Callithrix jacchus: one gene and its partner. The protein of the gene in region 1 purifies or fractionates together with the protein of each later gene. This does not show direct contact. Links are inferred from orthologs where the notes say so. Each region holds a gene or a part of one and is shown on either strand. Other genes may lie near its edges.

Region 1 (5,029 bases):
AAAAAAAAAAAAAAAAAGTATTTGTGTCTGGAGTCTGGATGTGGTGGCTCACACCTATATTCTCAATACTTTGGGAAGCTGAGGAGGGAGGATTACTTGAGAACAGGAGTTTGAGACCAGCCTTGGCAACATTCTAAGGGTGGTAAAGCCCCTATCTCTACAAAAAGTTAAAAAAAAAAAAAAGCCAGACATGGTGGTTTGCACCTGTAGTTCCAGTTACTCGAGAGTCTAAAACAGGAGGATCGCTGAAGCCTGGGAGTTCAAGGCTGCAGTGAGCTGAGTTCATGCCACTGGACTTTAGCCTGGGTGACAGAGGGAGACCATCTCAAGAAAACAAAACAAAATAAACAAACAAAAAAAGTATTTGTTGGGGAAGCTGACATTTCCTCCTTGGAACTGATTTCTTCTGGAATGGGTCAAGAATGTTCGTTCCCTTCTGAATGTCCCTGTTATTGTTCTTCCGTCTTGATAAACACTGTCAAGGAAGAACAGATTTTCTCTGGCCTAGAGCCAGGTTAGTGGAAAAATCCTTTGCCTTGGGCCCCCTGCTGTGGTCCACTGGGCCAGTCCTCTGATCACTGACTGGGATAAATGACCTCCACAGAGTCCCCTGAAGGGAAATGCAGATTTGCTGAACTCTGGAAGGGAAGAAGGGGATTGTTGGTGAGCCATCATTACGGACACTGTGCTAGAGGCATTGCACTGCACATGCTATCTTTTTGCTTCTTTTTTTTTGAGACGGAGTCTTGCTCTTGTTGCACAGGCTGGAGTGCAATGGCACTATCTCGACTCACTGCAACCTCCACCTCCTTGGTTCAAGCGATTCTCCTGCTTCAGCCTCCCGAGTAGCTGGGATTACAGGCTTGTGCCACCATGCCTGGCTAATTTTTGCATTTTTAGTAGATACGGGGTTTCACCATGTTGGCCAGGGTGGCTTCAATCTCCTGACCTCATGATCTGCCCGCCTCGGCCTCCCAAAGTGCTGGGATTACAGGCGTGAGCCACCGCACCCAGACCTCTTTTTGCTTCTTACCAGCACCATCTTAGCTAAGCATCAACACCTGCCAACTCCGCAGAGGTAAAAAGTTTCACTCAGGGGCCTGCAACTAATAACCCAGAGCTTTCTGACATCAGAGCCCAGGATCACAGTATTCCAGACTTCAGGGGTTTTAGTGCTTTCTGCCACCCAAGGACCTGAGAACGAAAGCTGTCCAGCAAGAAATTTTCATAACTGCATTCTATTTCCCTGTGAACTAGGCCTGGCATGGTTGATCTCGGTGTCTAGAAACTGGAGTCAGATATTCAAGATATAAAAAGGAAATCGCTAGTGGGGCGTCATGGCTCCTAGGACTTTGGAGGTTAAGGTGGGAGGATCGCCTGAGCCCAGAAGTTTGAGACCAGCCTGGGCAACACAATGAGACCTCGTCTCTATTAAAAAAAAAAAAAAAGATATGGCTGCTCTTTCTAGATCAGGAGGTCCAGCCTCAGAAAACCTAGGAGGGCTGCTTGATCTTTCTTTTCTAATTCCTGACAAGTTAGAAGACCTTTGGCATCTGAGAGCCCTTTTGCTTTAAGCTTAAGCTCTTGTTTGGGAAGCCACTGGGAGACTGCGAAGAGTGCCCGCCTACCTGGGGAAACCTGAGTTAGGTGTGGCTGGAGCGACTCGAGATGCGAGGTGGGCGGGGGCAGGCTGAAAGTTGGAGCAAGCAGGAAGTGAGCCGAGGGCCACCCTAGGAGGAAGCCGACGAGGCGAATTCACCTGCTGACCGGCCTGAGCTGCTCTGAGATATGGTGAGAGAACCGGGAACGAGGAAAGGGCTGTTTTAAAGAGGGGCCAGAGGGGGCTCGGGACCGGGGGTTAACTGTGATGGGGGAGGAGAGTTGGTGGCAAAGTTAGAGGGCTGGGCCAGTGCTGCCTGTGGCCTCTCCTCTTTGACAACTTGGCTGCAAATAGCTCTGAGCCGTCCTGGGAGGTGTTCCTACTCCTTTTCCCTCCCTCCCTCCCCTGACCTCTGTGCTCGTCACGAGCTGGGCTTCGGTGCTGGTGCCGACGGGGCTCCGAATTCCAGGCAAATAGTTGTTACGCCTTCCTCCTCCAGGGAGCCCCGAGGCGGGTGTTGTGACGCTACAAGGCAGCGCCCCAGCAGTTCCCAGTTCAGATTCCAACCCAGTGGCAGGAGCTGTCTCGGGCCTTTCACTTTATTCCCACACAGAAACACAAGGGATTTGTGTGTCCACGGAGTCCTTCGGGTGTCCTTTCTCCATTAACGTGAAGAAGAGAACTAAGCGTTTATAAAGAACCAGAAATTGGTTCTCTGTGATAATCCAGTTCTGACCCGTGCCACTGGCTTGTTTTTGGAGGTCAAGGAGGGAGGAGCTTAATAGTATTTTTCTCTCCTTGTTCAAACACTTGGTCATGAAGCTTCCCAGATGAGACATCAGCCAGGGAGGACTAGTCCTCCATTTCCCCCAATGCCAAGATGGGTGTTTTTATTTAGCATCTGCATAAGCAGGCAGTTCCTTGGTACCTGCACGTGGTGCCCAGTGGTGGGGAAAGCAGAAGTGTGTGGCTCAACGGTTCCTGGCGCCTTCTGGGGGACTTGGTTGCCTGTTGCTCTGGGTCACAGCAATGGCATTGTAGCCAGAGCAGGGCTCCAGCAGCTGTCTTGGAGGGACAGATAGGTTGGGCTAGGTGAGGATATTTTGCTGGCCAGCACAGACACTTTCTTTTTTTTTTTTGGCTCGAGTCTGGCTCTGTTGCCGAGGCTGGAGTATAATGGCATAATCTTGGCTCGCGGCAACCTCCACCTTTTTGGTTCAAGCGACTCTCCTGTCTCAGCCTCCGAGTAGCTGGGGTTACAGATACCTGCTACTATACCCAGCTATTATATATATGCGTGTGTGTATATATATATATATGTGTGTGTGTGTGTATGTGTATGTGTATATATATATATATATATATATATATATTTTTTTTTTTTTTTTTTTTTTTTTTTGAGACAGAGTTTCACTGTTGTTACCCAGACTGGAATGCAATGGCACGATCTCAGCTCACCGCAACCTCCGCCTTCTGGGTTCACGCAATTCTCCTGCCTCAGCCTTCCGAGTAGCTGGGACTACAGGCACGCACCACCATGCCCAGCTAATTTTTGTAGTTTTAGTAGAGACGGGGTTTCATCTTGTTGACCAGGATGGTCTCGATCTCTTGACCTTGTGAACCACACGCCTTGGCCTCCCAAAGTGCTGGGATTATAGGTGTGAGCCACCACGCCCGGCCTATTTCTTGTATTTTTAGTAGATATGGGGTTTCACCATGTTGGCCAGGCTGGTCTCAAACTCCTGACCTCATGATCCACACGCCCCATCCTCCCAAAGTGCTGGGATTACAGGCCAAGCCACCACACCTAGCACAGACACTTTCAATGAGGATCCAGAGAAATCAGGAAAGGGGGGGTGGCTCCAGGCATTGTAAATAGTGGTGGGCTCTGCCCTGGCGGGGAACACTGTGAGATGCAATGCGGCTCTGCTGTATTCTATGGCCCTCTTTAGGGAGCAAGGAAGCAGTGGGGAGGGATTTAGTGATGTGCTGCTTTTCCTTGTCAGGGGCCCAAAAAGGAGTTTGATCCAGTCTGTTTAGCATCACATCTCACCTTCTGAGGCTTACAAATGCATTTATTTTTTATTACACAATACATGAAAACATTCTCTTTGTAAACATTTCAAGCATTTTACAAAAAGCTAAAGTCTGCCTGAGGCCTTACACTCCCCAGACCTCTGAGGCCAATTCTCCAGTTCCCCCAGCACTTGTTCTAATTAACCCCATGTTGCTGTGCAGGAGGAAGGCAGTGAAGGTGGAGGAAATGATCGCGTAAGGAACCTGCAGAGTGAGGTGGAGGGAGTTAAGAATATCATGACCCAGAATGTGGAGCGGATCCTGGCCCGAGGGGAAAACTTGGAGCATCTCCGCAACAAGACAGAGGATCTGGAAGCCACAGTGAGGACGGGAAACCCACTGGGGGTTGGAGGAAAAGAGGGAGGAAGGGAATTTCTTTTTGGTGGGGCAAAATAAACACGAGGGCCAGAAGTTAGCCATTTCTGTTGCTTTTCACCAGGTTTGGGAGCTGATATGAGCAGTCTCTACTTCTGAATCTGCTCTGATCCACAGATTGTTAGGGATCCCAGGGAATGGATCCCATGACTGGGGCTTGAGGTGGCAGCTCGCCCATAGAGGCATGTTCTGAGACCAATAGCTCAGTCAGCCCCTGCATTCTTAGGATTCTCTCCTGGGAAACTGAATTTCCCTTTGAAGCCTGCCCAAGACAATCATTTGCATCTGACCTTCCCAGGGCAGAAATATTGGCTCTGAGGAAACTCCCCTATGGCCTCTAGCCTTCTCTAGGAGCTATTAGGCAAAGGGTGAGAAATTGCTGGCATCTTGGTAAGTTGGCTTTAAAAACAAGCTGGAAAGAGCAGTAAAATGCTTTGATCCCAGGGTCCCCTGCTAGATGAAGGCTAGAATAATATCTCCCACACATCTTGCTAGACCTCATTCCTCTCTCCAGCCAGGGGCTGAGGCCAGCTGTTTCAGGGAGGAAGTAACTCCAAAGTTGAGCAAAGCCTGGAGCCTCAGGTTCTGTGTTCGGGGAGAGGCCTGCTCTGGCTTTCTGAGTTCTGTGTGAACTCCTGGCCCTTGAGTACTGCTCCCTTGTCTCCCTGGGACTCAGTGCCTGTTTCTGCAGCTTAAACGTAGCTTAATTTGGAGAGCACAGCCTAGGGACTTTTTTTTTTTGAGACGGAGTCTTACTCTGTTGCTGAGGATAGAAGTGAGCTCAGAGGCACAATCTTGGGTGACTGCAACCTTCACCTCCTAGGTTCAAACGATTCTCATGCCTCAGCCTCCTGAGTAGCTGGGATTACAGGTGTGCATCACCACACCTGGCTAATTTTTTGTATTTTTGGTAGAGATGGGGTTTCGCCATGTTCGCAAGGCTGGTCTCAAACTCCTGACCTCAGATGATCTGCCCGC
Region 2 (5,005 bases), on another chromosome or scaffold:
CCATTTCAGCCTCCTGAGTAGCTGGGATTACAGGCACCTGCTATCATGGCTGGCTAATTTTTGTATTTTTGTAGTGATGGGGTTTCGTCACATTGGTCTTGAACTCCTGGCCTCCCAAAGTACTGGGATTACAGGCATGAGCCACTGTGCCCAGGCTGAGCTGGGTTTTAACAGGAAAAGAAGAGCTAAAGCCCTTCACATAGAATCAGATAGCACTCGACAATTTCCAACCTCATCATCACTGAAGTTTAGAGCAGGGGATACCTATAATGATCTCTCCATCCCCCTAGTTACCCACTGTACAGAGGGAGATCAAGGCTTAGAGACAGGAAGCGATTTCCAGAAGTCCATAGCAACTCAGTCCCAGGAATCTAGGCTTCCTGACCAGGTCATAGCAGAAAGGGTCCATTCCTTCCCCTACTTGTACCTTCACAGAAGCTTCCTGGAGAGCCCTGGGTTCCAGGAGTCCATTATTCATTCCTGGCTATGCTGAGACTTGCTGAGTGACCTTGGGGACTCCTCCTAGAGAATGTAAGTTTGACGAGTGCAGGAATTTTTGTCTATTAGTCCCTGATATGTCTCCAAGTCTAGAACAGTGTTTGGTCCATAGTATGTGCCCAATAAATATCCATTAAGCGAATTAATGTTGCCTGTAATCCCAGCACTTTGGGAGGCTGAGGCAGGATTGCTTGAGCCCGAGAGTTCGAGACCAGCTTGGGCAACATAATGAGACCTCACCTCATGAAAATTTTTAAAAATAAAAAACGAGTGAATATCTAGATAGCCAGGGTTAGGGAAGTGTTACAGTCAGAAAGTCTGAAACCCAAAGAAGACCAGGAAACTGGGGGCTTTATCCTGAGATACATGAAAGGCTAAAATTTTGTGCACAGTTATTTACAGAGGGCCCATTATGTGCTTGGTAGTGAGCTAGGAACTCCCCAGATTCAGTTAAGAACGAAGTCATGACCTGATCTCAGATGTAAGGTAGGGGCTGGGGGGTGTGAGTGGTAGGGAGGCAGCGTGCTCAACAATACAGACACTTTTCTTAGCCTGAGCTGCCCTGACATGGTCTGACTGCTCAGAGGTGGTGAGTGCAGCCGGGCTGCCATGTTCAAGGAGGGCGCCGGCCGCCCACCTACCAGAGGCTGCGCCAGGAGGATGCGGGAGATTTCTGCCTTGGGTGAGGTCACCTCCCACCCCCAGATTCCCTGCTCACACAACCCTGCAATTTTCTGACGCTGACGGCTCGGATATTATTTCCCGATTTTCGAGGTCCCATGATGCTGACAGCCCCAAATGCTAAGTGGTCTGCCCACGTTCCTGGACCCGAAAGCAATAAAGGCGAAGTCATCAAGGGTACACCCACCCACTGCCTCAAAAGGCCTCTGGGGGTGGTCGGCGCGCCCCTCCCCACCTCGCGGGGGCTGTGTGGGCGTCGTTCGGTCGCTGGGGTGCCGGGGACTTCGTGATGAGAACGGCGTCCCAGAGACCGCGGTGACAGAGCCGGGACACGTGACAGTCACAGCGTCACGTTCTGCGGTCCGCGAGTTTGGGAACGGGCTGGTCACGTGATGCAGTGGGGGCATCATGGGGTGATATGAGATGCGGGTGTCTCGGCTTACGTACAAATGACGTACTCCTACGCCTTTTGGCAACCAGATTTCCGTTGGAAGTTGCAACGGTTCCGGTGAGGGGGGCGGGTTCTCGCGTCCAGGCAGCTCCGTTTCCGCTCGGGGCGCAACAACTTCCGACTCCGCCTTCCCCCTCCGGCGAGGAAGAGACGCGACCTTGTGCGCATGCCCCGAATTTATCACGGAGGGGCGGGGCTGAGGCTGAGAGAGCAAGAGAGGGGAAGAAAAGGGAATTCCAACCTGTGGAACCTTAGTGGTCCCCGGGGTCGGCTCCTTCCCATTGACTGTGGGTGGTGCAAGGGACAGAGCGTCTGGCGGCTTGTGGGGGTGTTGAGGTCCGCACCGGGAGGGAGGGGAGTGTCAGAGTGTGAGTGGGGTACGGGAATTCCAAACTTGAGGGCCTCCTGGCTCAGGCGCCGAGGAGGGAGAGCTCAGGCCGCCATGCGGGACAGGACCCACGAGCTGAGGCAGGTGAGACATGGGGGCAGTGGAGATGTTGAGGGGCGGACGAACTGGAACGCAGGACTCCTGATCTTCAGGGCGGGGAGGGATGGCTGATGGCCAGGAAGGAAAGTCCCGGAAGCCTGTGGGTCGTGCGGGGTGAGAGCCGCAGCGAAACAGTGGTACCAATGACTCCGGGCCTCGCAGGGGGATGACAGCTCGGACGAAGAGGACAAGGAGCGGGTCGCGCTGGTGGTGCACCCGGGCATGGCACGGCTGGGGAGCCCGGACGAGGAGTTCTTCCAGAAGGTAAGGGGCTGGGGTCTCTGCCTGGATTCGCGAGGGGGTAGGAAGACCCGAGGACCAGCGTGGTCTGGAGTACCCCATATCTCTTTCAGCCCTCTCGGTCACCCTCCCCAGGTCCGGGCAATTCGGCAGACTATTGTCAAACTGGGGAATAAAGTCCAGGAGTTGGAGAAACAGCAGGTCACCATCTTGGCCACGCCCCTTCCCGAGGAGAGTGAGTGAAACTCCGACTGCAGGGCGCATGCACCACCTTAGGGATTGTGGGGGTTGTAGTCCCACATAGGTGATTGCCAGGGTGGTTTGTTGAGGTGGGAGCTGCTGTTCGGAGTCGTGGTCTTCTCTTATTCAGGCATGAAGCAGGACTTGCAGAACCTGCGCGATGAGATCAAACAGCTGGGGAGGGAGATCCGCCTGCAGCTGAAGGGTGAGCTCCTGGGACCTCAGACAGATCCTTCCCTTTGATCCTGCCCTGTTGTTGGTGTATCTGGGGAGTGTGTGGCCCAGAGAAGCCGATGATATAACCAGGTCACACAGCAGGCCTGGGTCTAGCATCTCTGTCTCCTGGCCTCCAGGCCATTGTACTCTCCACAGGACAAGCCGGCCTCTCAGGTTCTTTTATTTACAATGTAACCATTTACTTACACAGTTATTGCAGCCCACTGGGCATTCTTTGGGCAAGAGGATGGGGTTTTGTTAGGTGGCCTCTGCATACCTATGGGAACTCAGTGATGTAATGCAAAGAAAAATAAACGTACTTTCTCCTCTTGGAGGCTCAGCCTTAGTCATTTTATGATAAATTATATTTCCCTAAAAATCCATGGAAACAAGTACCCCCAGTACTCCATGTGTCTTCCCACAGCCATAGAGCCCCAGAAGGAGGAAGCTGATGAGAACTATAACTCCGTCAACACAAGAATAAGAAAAACCCAGGTGGGTTTTTTTTTCTCAGAAATGAGGACATTTCAGCAAATGTTTCATGAAGTACTGGATGACAGATGTATGAAGGAAGGGCCTGCAGAGATGGTGGAGTCCAGCGGAATGATTTTCCAAATGGGGAAACTGAACTCAGAGAAAGAACTTGCTCAAAGTCAGGAAACCAGGTCTCCTGATGCTTAGTCCGATTATAATACCCTGCTTTATTTTCTTTCATTCAATAAGAAGTTGCTATGACCCCAGACAAGACCTAGGTTTGGCTGTAGGGACACATGTTTCTTTTACTTTTTTTGCCTCAGCCTCCTGAATAGCTGGGATTACAGGCAGACATCACCATGCCTGGCTAATTTTTGTGTTTTTAGTAGAGATGGGGTTTCACCATGTTGACCAGGCTGGTCTTGAACTCCTGACCTCAGGGGACACTCCTGTCTCAGCCTCTAAAGTGCTGGAATTATAGGTGTGAGCCACCATGCCTGGCTGGGACACATATTTTCTAGGAGTCAAGATGAGGAGTTCAGGTTCAATAAGGACAAAGACATTACTCACGTAGGACTTGGTGATAATGGTGCTGCCCAGGGAAAGAGAGAAGTCATAAATGACTGGCAGCTTTCCTGCCTATGTGACAGGGAGTCCTTAGTCCCACAGGCAGAATTCAAGAAGGCAGGAAGAGGAACTTCCCTGGGGCGACACTGAAGAGGAACTTCCCTGGTGTGATATCTTATATTTTTAATTATTATTTTTTTGAGATGGAGTCTTGCTCTGTCACCCAGGCTGGAGTACAGTGGCAGGATCTCGGCTCACTGCAACGTCTACCATCTGGATTCAAGCTGTTCTCCTGCCTTAGCCTCCCAAGTAGCTGGGATTGCAGGTGTGCACTACCACACCTGGCTAATTTTTTTATATTTTTGGTAGAAATGACGTTTCACCATGTTGGCCAGGCTTGTCTTGAACTCCTGACCTCAAGTGACCTACCTGCTGTGGCTTCCCAAAATGCTACGATTACAGGTGTGAGCCACTGTACCTGGCCTTTGGGGTGATGTGACTGGCCCTCTCTGGGTCCCCAGTGAAAAGTACTTTAGGATTCTAGGAGGTCAGGGTTGGAAGTTAGGCCCAGGGTTGGAAGTGAGGACCCCAGATTGAAGATGGAGCAACTTGGGCATCTTGGAAGGGTGCAGCCGGATCCAGGAGAGTAGATGTATCTCTGGAAACGAAACTCCAAGGAACGAACATATTTAAGGCCTCAGGAGAAGGGGCAAGGCAGAGCAGATGACCTATAGCCAGTGCTTCTGGGGTAACCTGTGGTGCTGATTGGCATGAGAGGTCAAGGGCCCATGTGGGCTTGTTGCACCTGTTTTGCCTGGGCGGCATGTTCATCTCTAGGCTTATGAGCACAGTTGTGGTATAAGCAGCAAGGTTGGCATTCAGCAAGTGCCAGACCCTTTTGGAACTGTTTAGGATACAGCAGTGAACCAATGATCCCTTTCATCATGGAACTTCCATTCTGGTGTAGAGAAACAATCACCATAATACATAAGTGAATTATTTAGACATAATAAGCATTATGGAAAAAAGAGCAGAGGAAGAGGGACTGAGTATGCTGGAGAAGAGTACAGATGCAATTTAAATCAGGTGGAAGAACTTCATTCAGAAGGTAACATTTGAACAAAAGATTTAAAGGTGTTTGTGGAGAATGA

The links. The genes of interacting proteins can lie anywhere in the genome.
Region 2: the proteins of VAMP8 (region 1) and STX4 purify together in Homo sapiens (affinity purification with western blotting; 3 studies listed by BioGRID and IntAct, with this or other methods). This does not show direct contact. The link is inferred for Callithrix jacchus from reciprocal best matches to the Homo sapiens genes VAMP8 and STX4.

The regions. Positions count from the first base shown.
Region 1 is NC_133515.1:27,446,207-27,451,235, reverse strand, and holds the start of VAMP8 (vesicle-associated membrane protein 8), read left to right. Parts: upstream 1-1,727; 5' UTR 1,728-1,788; coding exon 1,789-1,791; intron 1,792-3,838; coding exon 3,839-3,997; intron 3,998-5,029. UniProt on the Homo sapiens protein: SNAREs, soluble N-ethylmaleimide-sensitive factor-attachment protein receptors, are essential proteins for fusion of cellular membranes.
Region 2 is NC_133513.1:30,559,955-30,564,959, forward strand, and holds the start of STX4 (syntaxin-4), read left to right. Parts: upstream 1-1,803; 5' UTR 1,804-2,072; coding exon 2,073-2,102; intron 2,103-2,279; coding exon 2,280-2,381; intron 2,382-2,470; coding exon of another isoform or gene 2,471-2,492; coding exon 2,493-2,592; intron 2,593-2,727; coding exon 2,728-2,802; intron 2,803-3,237; coding exon 3,238-3,308; intron 3,309-5,005. UniProt on the Homo sapiens protein: Plasma membrane t-SNARE that mediates docking of transport vesicles. Necessary for the translocation of SLC2A4 from intracellular vesicles to the plasma membrane.